Linked DNA regions of Mus musculus. Each later gene encodes a partner of the first gene's protein in a complex. Links are inferred from orthologs where the notes say so. Each region holds a gene or a part of one and is shown in the gene's direction. Other genes may lie near its edges.

Region 1 (4,457 bases):
TTCCATATTGGGGTGACTCAGCAAGACCTGTTTGGCCCTGCCTCTGCCCTGTCGTTGCTGATGTAGAGCTTTGCCATTGACCCTGTCAGTCACTACGCCATCTTACCCCACCAAAACCCGCCTCCCTATGTTCCAAACTTATATAAGCAAGAGGCTGACTCCATAAAGTTGAGTTCCTGCTTCAACAAGACTCCCAACTCTGTGTGTTTCTTTTGGGCCGTTGACACTCGCCATCCTGCTCAGCCCTGGAGAGACCCCAGAGGGACAGGGACCTCTCTCCTCTGTCCTGGACCTGTCAGCAAGGAGCAGGTACAGAACCTCCAACTCTCGATCAGGTCCCTCAATCTCACCTTGCACATCTCCCAGAAACATATGTTTTACTTTACCCTTCACCACTACCCCAATCTGTTATTGCGTTTCTAAAGAACATACCCTCTCAACAGCCCCCATTTGTCAAATACATTCACTGCACTGTACTACTTCATATATTCTTGAGGCGCCTACTCTGTACTCTGGAAATACTATGGTAAATACCAGACAAGGATCCATTGAAATCAAAGATAGCTGTTAAGACTATGTTGACAATTAAAATCAGGCAATGAAAGTAAGAACTATTGTAGACTAAGTTTTCAAATAAAAAAAAAAATCACCTGGAATTTCAACAAGGGATATGAAAGGCTCTGCTTGGTTTTGCCTTCCTGAGGGTGGGACCTAGCATCTCTACATGGTAGGCAAATGCTGTACCACTGAGGGATATGCCCAGTCCAAGATGAGTTCTGAAGTCAAACAACAAAAGAAATCCATTGAGGTGATGTCTTTTTTTCTATCAAAGCTTTCTAACACAAGAAATTGTTTCAGATGTTGGCTAAGAAAAATAGTAAGTAAAAAGCACATAAAAGTTTAAAAATTTTTTTCGGACATGAAAACAATTTTTAAAACGTTTTTCTGTATGGTTCCTCTCCCTAAAATGTCAATTCTTTAAAATATAACATCCCCAAAGTCTTTCTTTCTAGCATATCAATGCTGCCTTATTATTGAACTAGGTATATATAGCAGGCATGCAAATAAGTATCAGTTGAAATAATGCACAAATTTGTGTGCGAGGTGTGCGAGCAAGACAGAAAAAATAAAAGCGTTGGAGGGTCCAGGAAGCCTTTGTGGTAATGTTAGGGTCATTTGTTTCAACTCACGGGCTTAAGCTGAGTATAAAATCCTTGGTGAGGCTTCCTTGCTTGGCGCTCCCTCAAAGAGCTGTCAAAGTACACACAAGCTCTACCGCCACAAAGCTCTCCAACTCCCCGCTAGGAGGAGTCACACAGGACCCACCAACCTTCCCACTTCTTTGGTTCCGCCCCTCCCTAACAAAGTTCCGGCAGCCTTTGAATTGGGTTGCTGGGAACAGTAGTCTTCCGGTCAAGAGCTACACGGGTTGTGGCGCATTGCCAGAACTACGCTTCCCAGGGAGCCTCGCGGCAGAGGGAGGGTGGGTCACCTGACCGGGACTTCGGCGACGCTATGGCGGCGCCCATGCTGCGCTTGGGTTTCCCTGGAAGACGCTGGGCTTTAACATGGCTAGATGGCGGTTCCCGCCACCGAAGTGGCTCTCAGACTGGGCCCACATCCAACTGGGCTAGGAGACAGAGTTCAGTGGCTCAGCCTTCCCTCCACACGGCTCAGAAGCCGAGGAAAGGGTATATCTTCTTCGTACTTTTGCCTGTCTCGTGGAAGTGCAGAACGAAGATAATGGCCCCGGCAGCCCAGCCTGAGGGTTTTAGTGTGCTGGAGGGTGGTCACCTGTGTTATGGGCAACTGAACCTAAATGAAAACACAAAACCAGGCCTGCCACCTTCAGCCTCACACTTAAAACTTCTGTCTTAAAGTAGGCATATTTGGACAACGTGCGAATGTAAAATAGCGTTTCCTCCAGTCGTCTTCTCAGACAGAAGACTGGAATACTTTGCCCTACTAACTCGTGTGGGGTCTGCGACACTAGACTCTGGCTCGTATGTAGCGGGCATTTGGCGTCACTACAGGCTAGCAATAATTTAAAGACAGAAAATAGCCGTTGTACAAAGCCCCAGATAGGAGAGGTCTTATTAGTCAGAAAGCACTAGCTATCTGTGGTTTTATTGTGGGCATATTTGTCTAGACCCCAGGAGGATGTTAGTCGACTGACGAAATCTTTCCCCGATTATATAAAGAATTGCTTATGTTGTACAGCAGTTAGTTGCTTCCGTGTACATGATTTAAAGCTTCTTTTAAAATACAGCAACAAGGCAATTTTTAAAAAAGTTTTGTTTTGTTGAGGTTGGCATTCTTTTTAGCATTTCAGTGAAGAAGAGAAGAAAAATGTCCAAAATCATCACCTTTCTATTCTCTTCATAAACTAGACTATTTTCTTTCCACGAAATGAAACTGCAGAAATACTTCGATTAGCAATTAGAACATGCAGAATTTCTGAATTTCTTAGTTTATTTCCTCTCTCTTGAAAGCTTTATTATCAAATTTTAGAAAGAAGGAATTAATCTTTTCTCATTCCTTCATCTGTTGAACTGCTTAAAACAAAACTGAATGCACATGAATTAAAATCTGACTAATATAGAAAATGTCTAGGGAGAAGTGAAGACTAGGAACATACATAGGAATAGAGAATTTAATTCCCCAAAGAGAGTGGAGTACTGGCTCACCAGAGTAGGGCTGTTCAGATAAGAGACAGTATATCACTGTAAGCATTTACAAAGATTTGCTAGCAGTGAAGTATGAACAAATGAAAAAAATTTAAGTTTAGATCTCAAGAACTGGATGGGACTTGGTGGATGAAAACAAAGTTTCCTCTAATGGTTTTCTGTTCTTTTTCACGGGTTTTAAGGAATACCATATTGTGGTAGTCTATGGTATCTGATCCTGCTTCTGTAGCTACAAGCTCTTAACAATGAACTCAAAATATGGGCGATAATTTATTCTTTAGCCATCATTTCTCTAGAACTAGAATCCTGGCATTTGTATTAAACCCAAATAATGATAAGATAAGCTTTTATTATTTACTGAGTCATTTACTTAGTGTTTATTAACTAATAAGGTACATTTAGTTTATTCACCAATAAAATGACACATTTTAAAATATAAGCATATAAAATTTTAATTTAAAACACAAGATTATAATTGGAAATATAGGTTTATAAGAATTTATATTTAGCGACAAATGTAACGTTTTAACCATTTTCCTTCCCTTTAGTGAACACAAATGGGCAGCTGTAGTAGGACTGGAAATTCATGCACAGATTTCCTCCAACTCTAAACTCTTCTCTGGAGCTCAAGTGTGCTTTGCAGCACCTCCAAATTCTCTGGTTTCTTATTTTGATGCATCTCTGCCTGGAACATTACCGGTAAGGTGTTTTATACTGTCTGTTTACATTAGAAAATGTTTATGTCATAGTGAATATAGATAAGGAACTACTTGCTTAGGGAATTTTGCATGATTAGGGAATTAAGCATGATGCATTAATTGTTTATAAAGACATGTCTCTATAATTCTGTTTCTAAATCTGAGTGTATTCATAGCATCGATTCACTCCTTTCACAAATGCTTTCAAATGCCTATCAAATACCAGATGCTGATAAGAACTGTCTAATGCAGACAAGCAAAGATCTTGCTTTAGGAGGAGTTTAAAGGTGGACAGAGCTGATGTCTTACAAACAATTAGAGTACAATATGATAATTCTTGCAAAAGCAGTGTGCAAAGAGTAATTTTGGAACCCAAAGGAGGGACATGTAATTGAGCAAGAGGAAGTATTGTGAGAAATTGTAGTGGTGTATCTAGTTAAGGAGGAATGTCTGGAATAAAAACGTGGTGTCCACACTGAGAAGTCAAGTAGGAGTTAGACTGATACATGGAGGAGTGGGGAGGACCCAAGAAAAGAACATGTAGTATGTGATTTTACAGTGTAAGAGCAATGTGATCTCAGTTATTGACATCTAAGAAGCAGTCAGTAATGGAGCGCTATAGTATAAAAGCGAGTTGGTTATCGATTTAGCTACTTATTTTCACTTGATCCTAAGAGGCAACTGAGCCAGCATCACCATCAGCAAGACTTTTAGTGTGGTCTTTTTAAGGAATGAGTTACATTTTGAAGAATAAGATGGAAGGAGCACTGTAAATATTTGAGCTAGAATGTGGCTCCCATTCTGTTCAGGAATCTTATATTGTTAAATGGGAATGGAGTTTCCATCTTCAGGAGCATGTGTAGACAGGGTTATGATGATGAGTATATCACAGACAGGGACTGTTAGGAGTGTGTTCTGTATTCTCAGATGTTTAAATACAAGCGAAGGCTGATCTACCCAGGCTGTTGTCAGTGCCTTGCATGTATCTACTTTAGTCAGAGCTTTGATTGGATTAAGGCAGATTCTCAGGCCTAGAACTCTTCTTATTTGGGCTTTTCATTGTGAGGGATCG
Region 2 (4,547 bases), on another chromosome or scaffold:
GGCCCATGAACTCCAGGCCTTCAATAGGAATCTCTTTCTCCTTGATTGCTTTCTAAAGGAGGAAGAAAATGCACTATCAGTCCATGATAGCTTGCAGTCCATGTTTTGTGACAGGTGTAATGGTACAGAGGTAAACCAGACTGAACTGGACGGGCTTGAAACCCACCATTCAAGGCATGCACCACCACTGCCCAGCTGGGCACCCTTTTTTTGAGGCAAGGTCTCATTCTGTAACCCTGGCTATTCTGGGACCCACACACCCTGCCTGCCTCTGAATCCTAGGATTAAAAGTGAGTACGGCTTAGTCCTGTTTTAACAAAACAGTGCCACTGTACAGACTGTAATGTAAGTCCTGTGTGGTATGAACACCTGCTCTTGGGAGGTGAGGCCTGAAGGTCAGTTCAGGTGCCTATCTCTATCTTAGTGACAGTGTTCACTCCGAATCGGCTCTGTGACCTTGAGTTACCATCCCTGTCTGAGAACTGACTAAAGGTAGCTTCTGGAATGGAGAGGTAGTTTTAGGTTAAGTTTGAAGTGCTGGTCTGAAATCAAATCTTACTGGCTACAACAGGTAATTGGCGGAGGAAAACAGAGCAATGAAAAGATCGCAACAAAACAGGCGACCTCTGCAATGCCTTACCTTAGGTCTAGAAAACTGTGAACACCATCCACTCCTAATAACAATGAAATGACGCACCACCAAAATAAGCAAGGTCATCAGACTCTAGTTCCTTTGAACCATTCACTTCCTATTTCTGACTGCTAGTTTTTCCATGTGTAAAATATAGATAATAGAAAAAAATAGATAGATAGATAGATAGATAATAGAACGCCTTGTCACCAAGACTAGTGACCTGAACTTTATTCCCAGAACCCATATAAATGTGAAAGGAGTAATCTGACTCCCGGAAGTTGTCTCCACCCTTATTGCAGACGCGAACACATTTTTTTTTTTTTTTCTGGAGACCGGGTTTTTCTGTATATCCCTGGCTGTCCTGGAACTCACTCTGTAGACCAGGCTGGCCCCGAGCTCAGAGATCCGCCTGCCCCTGCCTCCCGTGCGCTAGGACATTAAAGGTGTGCGCCACCTCCGCCCGGCCACGCCAATTTTTTAAAGATACGGATGATAGCTACTTGCACGTTTGGAATGAATCCCAAATAAATGAGCAATAACAACAAAATACTAATGTACTCTGTATAAAGCAAAGTACCGCAAAGGCATCCCGGTGTGTCAAGTGGAGACAGCCTGGCGGTTTCGGGGGATGGCCGAGGAGGGCAGGCTGCTGCGGCGAGGCCGGGCGAGACTCACCTGCACGCACTGCTGGTAGCGTTTGAAGAGGTCGGTGCACGGGTCCCCGGAGCCGTCCCCTTTGAGGAACTTCTCAGCAAACCAGCGGTTGAAGCACTGGTCGTACTCGCGCTTCATGTCAGTGCAAGCCTCCCCGACGCTGTTCATGGCGGTGATGGCAGCTGCGGTGACGGCGACGCATTCTGATGTCGTCACACACCCCCTCACCCCCACCCCGCGCGCGCGCCGCCCTACCGTCTGTCCCTACGGGGGCCGAGAAGCAAAAGAAATGTGGTCACGGGCCGCGAGTGTGCGATTTCGGGCCCCGCTGGACGCGGGCCGAAGCTTTGCTTCCAAAGCGAATCCACAGGGAAAGGTCCAGGCGGCGGGGCTGGGGACCCAGGCTCCACGTCTCGTCCCCCAGGGCAGCGGTCGCGTGTCCCCCGCGGTAATCGAGCATCTGGAGCGACTGGCGCTGGTGAACTTCGGCAGCCGCGAGGCGGTGGACCGGCTAGAGAAAGCCATCGCCTTTGCGGATCAGCTGCACGCCGTGGACACTGACGGTGTGGAGCCCCTAGAGTCGGTACTGGAGGACAGGTAAACTCCCGGCTGCGGTCTCGGACCTTTGAGGCTGTTTCAGGTCCTTTGCATAATTGGAAATTTGTCCAGTCTCCGCGAGGATGGCTTCACTCTTCCCCTAGTTCATTATTGATCCTGTCACTCTCGTTTACAACCCTCTAGTCTTCTCAGTCTCGATGTAAATAGGAACCAAGTCCGAGAATCCCTTACTTCAAAGAGCCCTTTACCCGCCCTCTCGGGGGTGCTGTCCCCTCAGTACCCTCCAGCCTAGACTGGCTTACAAACCAGGTTTATTTCCTTAAAGTGTTTTCACTTGCCTTCCTGAGCATCTGATTAAATATCTGAAGAAGTCAAACACTATTTATATGTATAACCTCAAGTCAGTTCATATGCTAATTACGAGATATCCAAATAACAAGTTATGGCTTTTTTTTTTTTTTTAAGACAGAATCTGGCTAAAATTTCGCGGAATGGCTTTGAACCCAAGGTTATCTTGCTGTGTTACCACCCATTGCATTGGTTTCATGAAGTCACTGAAATGCTTTGCAAAGTTTAAATCTTGTTAGTCTCCTGTCCTTCTCACCTTCGGGTCTTTGATCTGATGCTCAGATCCAGAGAGGTTAACACTATTTGCCTAATATTACCCAGTAATTCACATCAGATACCTGATGTCATTTTCCCACCCAAGATCTTCACGACACGTGCTCGTGGTCTTCAGGTCCTCAGGTCCTCGGCTGTCACAGCCCCTCCCCATCTCTCCAAGCTAACACTGTCAAGTTCTTTCAGCTTCTTGACTTCTCCCTCCCTGTTACTTTTTTCCCCACAATTTTCAGTCCTTGCTTTTTACCAGCTCCTTATCCCACCTACTTCTCCTCTCTTAAGTTGTCGACTGCCATTAATTCTTTTATTCCTTTATACAGTAAAAAATATATGGTTCTACTGGTATTCAAAAGCGCTGCTAATCACAGCATATCTACTTAAATGTTAGTTCTCTGCCTTCCCCCTTCTGTTTATCCAAATAGCATGAATCATGTTTGGATTTTTTTTTCTTTTGTCTAGCACTGAGTAAATACTTGGGAAATGCTCAAATAAACATCTCATTAATTTATTTGGGGGAGAGAATAGAATTAAAGAGCCAGCAGTGGTGGTGGTGGTAGTGGGTTCAGCGGGTAAGGGCAATTGCTACCAATTCTGATGATCTTAGTCTGCTCCTTAAGACCCACATGGTGGAGGCAGAAAATAGACTCTAACAAGTTTTCCTCTGACCTCCCCAGGCACACTATAGTACATACCTCTGCCACATACAAAATTTTAGAATTGTAATTTTTTTCAAGAGTCAGGATTTCCTGTCTTCTAGGAGAAACTAAAGAAATGCAGTTGCTACAAAGGGAGGAGTCAAAAACAAACAAACAAAAAAAAAAGACAAGAAGTATTTTTGTCATGGTGTGGATCAAATTTGAGCTTGTCATTCAGTGGCCTGAATTTCTTACCATAAATTATGTCGTTTTAGGTTAATGAACCCGACAAGTCATTTTAATATGACATTTATAGGACTTCAAAAAAATAGGCCTCATGAATCCCAGCATCTCAGGCCAGACTTGAATGTGCTTTTAATCTTTAAATGTATGTGCCTGCAAGTCTATGCCTATGTGTGCAGGAATCCACAGGTTGGAAGGGGGTGCCTGTGAGAGCTCCCAGAGCAGTTTCAGGAAGTGTGAACTTCCATGTTGGTACAAGGAACGAAACCCAGACCCTCTGTAATAGCTAAATGCTCTTAGCTCATGAGCCATCTCTTGAGCCCCTGACTTGTTTTTTGTTTGTTTGGAGACAGGGTTTCTCTGTGTAGCCCTGGCTGTCCTGGAACTCACTTTGTAGACCAGGCTGTCCTCGAACTCAGAAATCCGCCTGCCTCTGCCTCCCGAGTGCTGGGATTAAAGGTGTGCGCCACCACGCCTGGTGACTTGAGTGTTTTAAATGCTTGTCTGAACTCAAAACATCCTAGTGATCCATAGGTGATCAGCAGTCTTAGGCAACAGCCATGATTGCAGCCAAAGCCCCGACTGGCTAGTAGAAGTCTGTCTACACATTTACAATGTATTATTTGGGTTGATCTACAAAGCCTTAGTGTGGCAGTGCCTTGGGCTAGGAGTTTGTGTCCAGTTATCTTATACAACTTATATGACTTCTGAGGTAGAGTGCCAGTTTCATACAAGAAGCAGGCTTAGAATTTCACAAGAAAAGCCAGGACCTGGGACTCAACCCTGTAACTCTCAAGTAATGCTGTGACAGGCCATGTAGTAACTCCTAAATACCCCTTTTGCCGTCTTAGCAAATCCAGAGACCAGCTTCACTAACATCTCACTGCAGCCAAATACTTCAACACTTTATTAAAACAAAAACTAGATGGCTCTGTGGATAAAGGCACCTGCTGCCAAGCCTGATGATCGTAGCTCAAACCCCGAGTCCCACGTCACATGGTGGAAGGAGAGAACCGACTCCTCCAAGTTGTCCAGATCCCCATATATGCACTGTTGCGCGTGTGCACACACACACACAAATTTTAAAAACAAGTTTTTCTTTTTTAAAAAAAATTTTTTATTTTATGTAAGTACACTGTAACTGTCTTCAGACACACCAGAAGAGGGCATCGGATCCTGTTACAGATGGTTGTGAGCCACCA

The links.
Region 2: Gatb (region 1) and Gatc share a complex: the UniProt entries of both Homo sapiens proteins name them as parts of the heterotrimeric GatCAB amidotransferase (AdT) complex. The link is inferred for Mus musculus from reciprocal best matches to the Homo sapiens genes GATB and GATC.

The regions. Positions count from the first base shown.
Region 1 is NC_000069.6:85,572,629-85,577,085, forward strand, and holds the start of Gatb (glutamyl-tRNA(Gln) amidotransferase subunit B, mitochondrial precursor), read left to right. Parts: upstream 1-1,500; 5' UTR 1,501-1,515; coding exon 1,516-1,691; intron 1,692-3,235; coding exon 3,236-3,386; intron 3,387-3,392; exon of another isoform or gene 3,393-4,457. UniProt on the Homo sapiens protein: Allows the formation of correctly charged Gln-tRNA(Gln) through the transamidation of misacylated Glu-tRNA(Gln) in the mitochondria. The reaction takes place in the presence of glutamine and ATP through an activated gamma-phospho-Glu-tRNA(Gln).
Region 2 is NC_000071.6:115,338,180-115,342,726, reverse strand, and holds the start of Gatc (glutamyl-tRNA(Gln) amidotransferase subunit C, mitochondrial), read left to right. Parts: upstream 1-1,565; 5' UTR 1,566-1,577; coding exon 1,578-1,885; intron 1,886-4,547. Other genes in the region: Triap1 (TP53-regulated inhibitor of apoptosis 1), read right to left, coding at 1-52, 1,310-1,456. UniProt on the Homo sapiens protein: Allows the formation of correctly charged Gln-tRNA(Gln) through the transamidation of misacylated Glu-tRNA(Gln) in the mitochondria. The reaction takes place in the presence of glutamine and ATP through an activated gamma-phospho-Glu-tRNA(Gln).